2 linked regions of the Saccharomyces cerevisiae S288C genome follow. Changing the gene in region 1 together with any one later gene gives a genetic interaction. Each region holds a gene or a part of one and is shown in the gene's direction. Other genes may lie near its edges.

Evidence for each region. Genes that interact genetically often act in the same process or in processes that back each other up.
Region 2: mutations in POL32 (region 1) and ARP6 together harm fitness more than expected from each alone (negative genetic interaction), as found in Saccharomyces cerevisiae (5 studies listed by BioGRID, with this or other methods).

What each region holds. Positions count from the first base shown.
Region 1 is NC_001142.9:515,961-519,540, reverse strand, and holds POL32 (DNA polymerase delta subunit POL32), read left to right. Parts: upstream 1-2,027; coding exon 2,028-3,080; downstream 3,081-3,580. Other genes in the region: VPS55 (Vps55p), read left to right, coding at 356-778; NUP85 (Nup85p), read right to left, coding at 3,252-3,580. UniProt on the Saccharomyces cerevisiae protein: DNA polymerase delta (DNA polymerase III) participates in chromosomal DNA replication.
Region 2 is NC_001144.5:299,007-304,392, reverse strand, and holds ARP6 (Arp6p), read left to right. Parts: upstream 1-2,403; coding exon 2,404-3,720; downstream 3,721-5,386. Other genes in the region: condensin subunit SMC4, read right to left, coding at 1-2,150; RAX2 (Rax2p), read left to right, coding at 4,142-5,386. UniProt on the Saccharomyces cerevisiae protein: Component of the SWR1 complex which mediates the ATP-dependent exchange of histone H2A for the H2A variant HZT1 leading to transcriptional regulation of selected genes by chromatin remodeling. Involved in chromosome stability.

The sequences.
Region 1 (3,580 bases):
TTTTTAAGAACATTTATATACATAATATACACGCCCCAAACATATATCGTTTATATAAGTACTGTTTCCTCGCATTAAGCGGGAAAGCCATGTATCTCTTGTAATTAGTTTGATCCTGTTCTATACCCAAATGTACTCCTCAAAATTATTACATTTTATTATGCCTTTTTCTTAGATGGGCTTTCACTCCACTTTACGAAAAACTGAGAAAAAAAGAGTAGGAGAAAAACTAGAAAAGGGGAATCACACACACACACACACACACACACACACACACACACACACGTCTAATATCGGCGCATATTTATCAAATCTAAAAGGCAAAGAATCTTAATACATAAAATCCCAGACGGTTATGATGGAATTCAAAGTGTCACCATTGACAAAGATTATTTCTCTGTCAGGATTCCTCGCATTGGGATTCCTTTTGGTCATACTAAGCTGCGCATTATTCCATAATTACTACCCACTATTCGATATTTTGATCTTTTTGCTTGCCCCAATACCAAACACAATTTTCAATGCAGGAAATAAATATCACACATCTGACTTCATGTCCGATTCATCAAACACTGGCCAAGATCTGGCTCACTTCCTTACAGGAATGCTGGTGACAAGCGGTATAGCACTCCCTGTTGTTTTCTATCATTGCCAATTGATTGGCCATTTGAGTTGTATCATGTGCATGATCGGTGGTCTTATCATATATTCTAGTATTGTTATTTTTAAATGGTTTTTCAAAAAAGATTTCAACGAAGATGATTCCCTTTTTGGTTAATATATAACAATTACTCATCCCCTCAACAGACTAAGCCAACTGGGTGCGTGAACCGTACATTGATATTATATAGTATGATACTCTACTCAAGGTGGGAAATCTGGCGTCGATTTCTCCTTTTTTTTAGAACTACTTAAATATAATAGATTACATAAAATTACTTTCTGTCTTTCTTCCATTTCAAGTTTTCAAACAAAAAATGCCAAGAAATTCGTGTCTTTAGCCTCTAGTTGACAGAATAATGTAGATAGGCAAAGTTGGCTGAATACATCCGTAATTTCGGGATAAGGATTGGCATTGAATCGCCACATGTCTATAATCTTATTTGAATCGATCTATGAGCGGAAACGTTGAGCAATGGTCGTACAACCATTCTGTGCCGCAATATACCTCATGAAAAGAGATGGGATTGCAAACCTTGAGAAATTAGTCTCTAGTAGGATAATGTATTGTACATTTGTTTGATTCCGCAGTTTTTATAGTGGCTTGAGATTTGTATTTCAACTAGATATGTTGAAAATATCCTCGTAGCGAATGTGGACATAGTGATAACAACAATGTCTTTGTCTTCTACACAAAGGTAAAGGTGTATAAAGCTTTACACACAATAAAGACGACACATAACAAATTATGCAACTGCGCTGCTATTGTAGGATAGCGTCCGATATTATCAATTCTTGCTTTTCAGCTTCTATTATATCTGATGACTAGTTCTCAATCTTTACGTCATCTTCCTATGGCATATTTTGTAATGTGCTAGTGACATGAATACTACTATGGATTATAGTAGGATTTCATTCTAACACAGCTCAGTGTGCAAGTTGTTTTTAATTTTACAATATGAATCTTTATTAAGTCTAAAATATTCATAAAAGTTAAGCGCCGTGGCGCAGTGGAAGCGCGCAGGGCTCATAACCCTGATGTCCTCGGATCGAAACCGAGCGGCGCTAAGCTTAATTTTTATATTTTTATCGTTTCACCTTATGAAAATTCTCGATCAGTATGCCTCAATATAGAACACTTCATTAATGGAAGTACCTTAATAAGGTTATACTAACGAATAGGTCTATTTTCCACTACGGTGTAACTTTCCGACGGAAGTAGTAAACGCGTATGAGTTAAACACGCGAAACTCTTAATTTTGAAAAGTACGCAGAAGTTCGTTACATCGCAATCAGATCAGCTCGAAATAATATTTCACATTAACTAACAACCAGAAATAGGCTTTAGTTAACTCAATCGGTAATTAATGGATCAAAAGGCGTCATATTTTATCAATGAGAAGCTCTTCACTGAGGTAAAGCCCGTCCTTTTTACGGATCTAATTCACCACTTGAAGATCGGCCCATCCATGGCCAAGAAATTAATGTTTGACTATTACAAACAGACCACCAATGCCAAATACAACTGCGTAGTGATATGCTGCTACAAAGATCAAACTATTAAAATTATTCATGATCTTTCCAACATTCCACAGCAAGATTCAATAATTGATTGTTTCATCTATGCCTTCAATCCCATGGACAGCTTCATACCATATTACGACATTATCGATCAAAAGGATTGTTTAACCATTAAAAATTCATACGAACTTAAAGTTTCTGAATCATCGAAAATTATAGAGAGGACTAAGACGTTAGAAGAGAAATCTAAACCTTTGGTAAGGCCTACAGCAAGATCAAAGACCACGCCAGAAGAAACAACCGGAAGGAAATCCAAATCTAAAGACATGGGTCTCAGGTCTACTGCACTGCTGGCTAAGATGAAAAAGGATAGAGATGACAAGGAAACCTCTAGACAAAATGAGTTACGTAAAAGGAAAGAGGAGAACTTGCAAAAAATAAATAAACAGAACCCTGAAAGAGAAGCTCAAATGAAAGAGTTAAATAATCTTTTTGTCGAAGATGACTTAGATACAGAGGAAGTAAATGGAGGGTCCAAGCCCAACTCACCTAAAGAAACTGACAGCAACGATAAGGACAAAAACAACGATGATTTAGAAGACTTGTTGGAAACGACAGCAGAAGATTCACTTATGGATGTACCTAAAATACAGCAAACAAAGCCTTCTGAAACAGAACATTCAAAGGAACCTAAATCTGAAGAAGAGCCCTCCTCTTTTATTGATGAGGATGGATATATTGTGACAAAGAGACCCGCAACTTCAACACCACCACGCAAGCCATCACCCGTGGTAAAAAGGGCATTGTCGTCTTCAAAAAAGCAAGAAACGCCGTCATCGAATAAAAGGTTAAAAAAGCAAGGAACATTGGAAAGCTTTTTCAAAAGAAAGGCAAAATAATCTTCTTTTTTTTCCAAACACTTTCCATTACTAATTGTGATGTAATGTATAATACAAATGTCAACTTACGTGATAGAAAAATAGATCAATATAAATATATATTGTTGTTTAAATTTACTTATTTTCGTCATATATCCTAATATACCATCCGAAGGACATTACTATACTGATTTACATGAACGCTTGACATAATTTGAAATTTAGTTTCTTTCTTAAATTTTTCAAAAGTGTTGCCATGCTACTAGGTAAGCTTTTATCTGCTTCAATAATGGTTTCATATAAGTTTGAACTTTTTTCATCAGCGTCATCCCATTTAGTTTCTATAACTTCAATGACTGTCGCCACTGAATCTTCATCCATTAGCTTCTTATCATCTAAAAGGAAAATTGGGTACAGGAATTTCGCCACAAGCAAAACCAAGTAATGTTTTGGTAAATAAGGGAATTCAATCAGCAAAAGCAATAGGCGCAGCGCTTGGCCCCAATCTTCTCTGTCCCTCA
Region 2 (5,386 bases), on another chromosome or scaffold:
ACGACATCATCTAGTCTCGGACAAGCAGTAGAAATAGCAACGTCAAAACTATCGTCGATAACGCCCAAATCGCCCAAACGTCCATGGAAACCATTTATACGTCCTGACTTTTGCAGTCTCGATAAAGCTGTTAAAACCTTACTTTTATTCTGAGCTTTTGATAAAGAGGATCTAGCTTCCATTGCACGCTGGCGATGCGCGTTCAAAACCTTTTGCATTTCTTTTAACTTTAGATGAGCAGAAGTAAAATTCTTTTCACCTTGCGACCTTTCATCTTTAAGTGAGTTCAGCTTCTTTTTCAGATCGAGGATAAGATCTTGTAGCTCCTGCTTGTGTGTTTTCTTGGCAAGAATTTTTTCTTCTAAAGTTTCAACGTTTTTTTTCAGTTTAGCTTGAGTTTCCTCCAACAAAGATAGTTCGGATTCAGCCAATTGTATCTGTGATTCTTTTTCCTGAAGTTGGAGGTCCCAAGGCTCCAGTTCCTTTTCATGCCGAATAATCTCTGCAGATATATTCTTCGTTTTATCTTTCAAAGATAGTTTAATATCATCAAGTATACTTCGTTCCTTTTCCAGCAATTGAGTCAAGTCTTTGATCTCCGTCTCGTGTTCGGTTTGTTGTCCACGAAGCTCTTCAAGCATATTCTCGGCCTCCGATATTGAATGTTTGGTGGATTTCAAAGTCTTTTCTGCTTTTTCCATTTTACTTACCAAATTTTTTGTTCTCTCTTCTAGAGACACCCTGGTGCCTTCTAATTCTCTTCTTTCTAAAACCAGGGTCTTTTCTTTCGAGCTACAAGATGATATTCGATCTTTTATTTCCTTACGTTGTGCTTTAATCTCATCCACTTTTTTCAAAGATTCTTGAAATTTCATCTTCTCATCTTCGAGGTCTTTATTCGAAGAGGAGATCTTTTCCAAGGTGCTGGCAAGTTTAGAGTTGCTTTGCAACAATTTAAATTGAAATAATTTTGATCTTAAAAGCGTCAGCTGCTTTTCCTTCTCTAAAAACTCTAACGCCGTTTCTTTCCCTGACTCTAAAGAGTTTTTTTCTCTATCAACAATTTCAAATCTATTTTCCTTTTCCAGGCAAACTTCATTTAGATTCTCAATCTGTCCCATTCGCTCTTCAATTAACGGCTTATAGTTTGCAGTTCCAATTATGTCCTCCAGATATTCCAGTAGTCCGTCGTCACTCTCTTTTTCTGCTTTAGGCTTCATTTGAGCAATATTCTCTACTTCACCTTGTAGAATTAAAAATCGTTTATGGTCTAAATCAATACCCTCATTCTTTAAAAGCTTTGTCACCTCTGTGTAGCTACTTTCTTTTTCGTTTATGTAATATTTCGATGAGTTGTTTTTAAAGGCTTTCCTTGTAATGATCAATCCAGGTTTTTCTTCATCGATTCGGGAAGTACCCGAAGATTCATCAATAACGTACTGAAAATGTACAGCTACGGAACATGATTGCAAACTTGGGAAAGCTTCTGATTTATGAATTAAATCCGACAATCTGTCCTGTCTCATCTTGTTCGCTCTAAATCCAAATACAAATAACATGGAATCGATGACATTTGATTTACCTGAACCATTGGGGCCTACCACGGCCGAGAAGCTAGTATGAAAGGGTCCTACTACTTGTTTACCAGCGTAGGACTTGAAGTTCTCTAAGACTAGTTCGTTAATAAATAGTCTGCTCTGTTGCTTGCTCGACGACTGGTGCCTATCATAAATTTTTTGTAGTTCAACCCTGCTATTTTTCACTGGCGAAAGCTGGAGCAATTCTAATCTTCTAGTTGGCGATCTTCCTGGAGACCTTGGTGGTGATTGAGAGTAGGACTTATGGTCGCGACCCCTAGAAGAGGTTTTTGGTGGTTGCAAGTTCGGTACATGTAATGACGTGGTTGTTGAGTTTGTAGGTTGAGAAAAGGCATACCGATTTTCCCCAGAACTTAAAACAAGCTTTCTGGGAGTATAAGATTTGGAATAAGATGCTTCCAACGCAGGAAGATCCGGCTCTGGTGTATTCTCGCTTAGGTTAACTCGGTTTTCTACCTGCGAATCTTCTTCGGCATCACCTTGATCAAGAGATAATTCTGGTTCTTGGGCGGACTTCCGCTTTTGTCTTTTGCTCAATGGACTATCAGACATCAAATATATTCTGTTGGTTGCACGTGGTTAGTGTTTAAGGTGATGCGGCTTCTTATAGGGCCTCTTTTATGGTATGAAATCGATTCCAGTGTGTAGATAATGTAAACCTATATGTATTTTCGTGATTATTGTAAACAGTTTACTTTCCGTCCATAATTACAAATGCATTTCAAAATGGGCCAAGAAGAACAAGAGAATTAATGCAAGACCAAAGGAGAAGAAGCGCAGAATCGTGGACAAGATAATTTAAACTATGGAAACACCACCCATTGTGATTGATAATGGCTCATACGAAATCAAGTTTGGTCCTTCCACGAATAAGAAACCGTTCCGAGCTTTAAATGCATTGGCCAAAGATAAATTTGGGACATCGTATTTATCAAATCATATCAAAAACATCAAAGATATTTCATCTATCACCTTCAGGAGGCCACATGAACTAGGACAGCTCACATTATGGGAATTAGAGAGTTGTATATGGGATTATTGCCTTTTCAATCCTTCAGAGTTTGATGGGTTTGATCTGAAAGAGGGAAAGGGTCATCATTTGGTTGCTAGCGAGAGCTGTATGACTTTACCAGAATTAAGTAAGCATGCCGACCAGGTGATATTTGAAGAATATGAATTCGACAGTCTTTTCAAGTCTCCTGTAGCAGTCTTTGTACCATTTACCAAGTCATATAAGGGTGAAATGAGAACAATTTCAGGTAAGGACGAAGATATCGATATTGTCCGTGGCAACTCAGACAGTACAAATTCCACATCAAGCGAGTCCAAGAATGCGCAGGATTCAGGTAGCGATTATCATGATTTCCAATTAGTTATTGATTCCGGGTTTAATTGTACTTGGATAATTCCTGTCCTGAAGGGAATACCGTACTATAAAGCGGTAAAAAAATTGGACATTGGAGGCCGTTTCCTAACTGGGCTACTAAAGGAAACTCTATCATTCAGACACTACAATATGATGGATGAAACCATACTTGTTAACAATATCAAGGAACAATGCTTGTTCGTTAGCCCGGTGTCTTATTTTGATAGTTTCAAAACGAAGGATAAGCATGCACTAGAATATGTACTTCCTGACTTCCAAACAAGCTTTCTTGGTTACGTAAGAAACCCCAGAAAAGAAAATGTACCGTTACCTGAAGATGCGCAGATCATAACACTGACAGATGAGCTTTTCACAATACCAGAAACTTTTTTCCATCCAGAAATTTCGCAAATTACTAAACCAGGCATTGTGGAGGCCATCCTAGAGAGCCTTTCCATGTTGCCCGAAATAGTGCGACCTCTTATGGTAGGAAACATTGTATGTACAGGAGGAAACTTTAATCTGCCCAATTTCGCCCAACGGCTTGCGGCAGAACTACAAAGGCAATTACCCACAGATTGGACTTGTCATGTTTCGGTGCCCGAAGGTGACTGTGCTCTGTTTGGGTGGGAAGTGATGTCACAGTTTGCAAAGACAGATTCCTACCGAAAAGCGAGGGTCACAAGAGAAGAATACTATGAGCATGGTCCCGATTGGTGTACGAAGCACAGGTTTGGTTACCAGAATTGGATATAATTAACTATAGATTTACATAGCAACAATGAAAATCCGAAAAGTCGAGACCTTCAGGTCATTTTCAATTTGGATTTTGTCATGTTTTTAAGAATCTTCCGCAGGCAATAATACATCTCATATGTTTTACATTTTTATTGACAAATTCCCAAATTAGGCAAAAATTCCTCTTTTTTAGTGGTTAGAAACGCCATTCTTCCCATTTTTTCGCGATACAAAAAAAGAAATATATGGAAATGTGGAAATGTCATCATCAGAAGTCTCGAAGGAAAGTGTGCGCTTTAATCATCCCCATACTAGACTTTGTAGGAGAAGATAATACAATTTTCGTTTTATATTTATACAGTTGATTGACCGGGAAACGAAGAAACGCAAGAGAAAACGATCAAAATACACCTGTTCTTCGTTACGATATAGAAATTAAATGTTTGTTCATCGTCTCTGGACACTCGCATTTCCTTTTCTTGTGGAGATATCGAAGGCATCACAGTTGGAGAATATTAAATCTCTTCTGGACATCGAAGATAATGTGCTACCGAATTTGAATATATCGCAAAATAATAGCAACGCAGTACAAATCCTCGGGGGTGTGGACGCCTTATCTTTTTACGAGTACACAGGCCAACAAAATTTCACTAAAGAAATAGGTCCAGAAACAAGCTCACATGGATTAGTTTATTACTCTAACAACACCTATATCCAGTTGGAAGATGCCTCTGATGATACTCGAATAGACAAAATTACACCATTTGGCGTTGATTCGTTTATTCTTAGCGGATCAGGCACGATAAACAATATCTCTGTCGGAAACCAGATATTATACAATTTGTCGACACTGTCTATGACGCCTATATTCAACCAGTCTTTGGGAGCTGTTCAGGCTGTGCTCGCAGACAATTCTTCTATCTATTTTGGAGGAAACTTTTCATATAATAATGGCTCCATGACGGGCTATAGTGCTCTCATTTGGGACTCCATATCAAATACCACCCAACTTTTACCTTTTGGAGGGTTTGGTGAAAACTCCAGTGTGAATTCCATAGTCAAGCTAAATAATGACAACATTTTATTTGCAGGCCAGTTTTATACACTGGATGATCCTTCTGCGCTTATCAGTAGTTCAAATAACGGTACGAACTCAACTTCCTCTTTAAACGCTACTACATTGGAGCTAGGCCAACGAATTCCACTGAGGTACGCTTCCTGGGATTCCCAGGGAAGTACAACGTTTGCATCTGATTCGTTAGTTTGTCCTAACACTAATGAGGATGCATGGCTTTATCCGGATACGTCTGGGTCTCTAGTTTGTAATTTACCATATGAAGTTTCACCAACAAAAATAAGGCTTTATAATTCCCAACGTTCCGATAGTGAAATCTCCGTGTTCCAAATTCTGACTGATCCATCCAGTAGCATAATGAATTTAACGTATCTGGACCCACTAAGTGGGGAGTTGAAGAATTGCGGTGAATTTTGCCCTTTGTATAGCCGAGCCACTTTATTATCAGCAAGCCAAAATGTATCTTCATCCATGGACATGATTACCTTCATCGATAACAACAAGACAGACGTAAAATGGACGTCAGATTTCCAAGACTTTGCGTTTGTGAATGAACTTCCCGTTTCATCGTTAAAATTTGTAGCATTAAATTCATACGGTGGTAGTGTT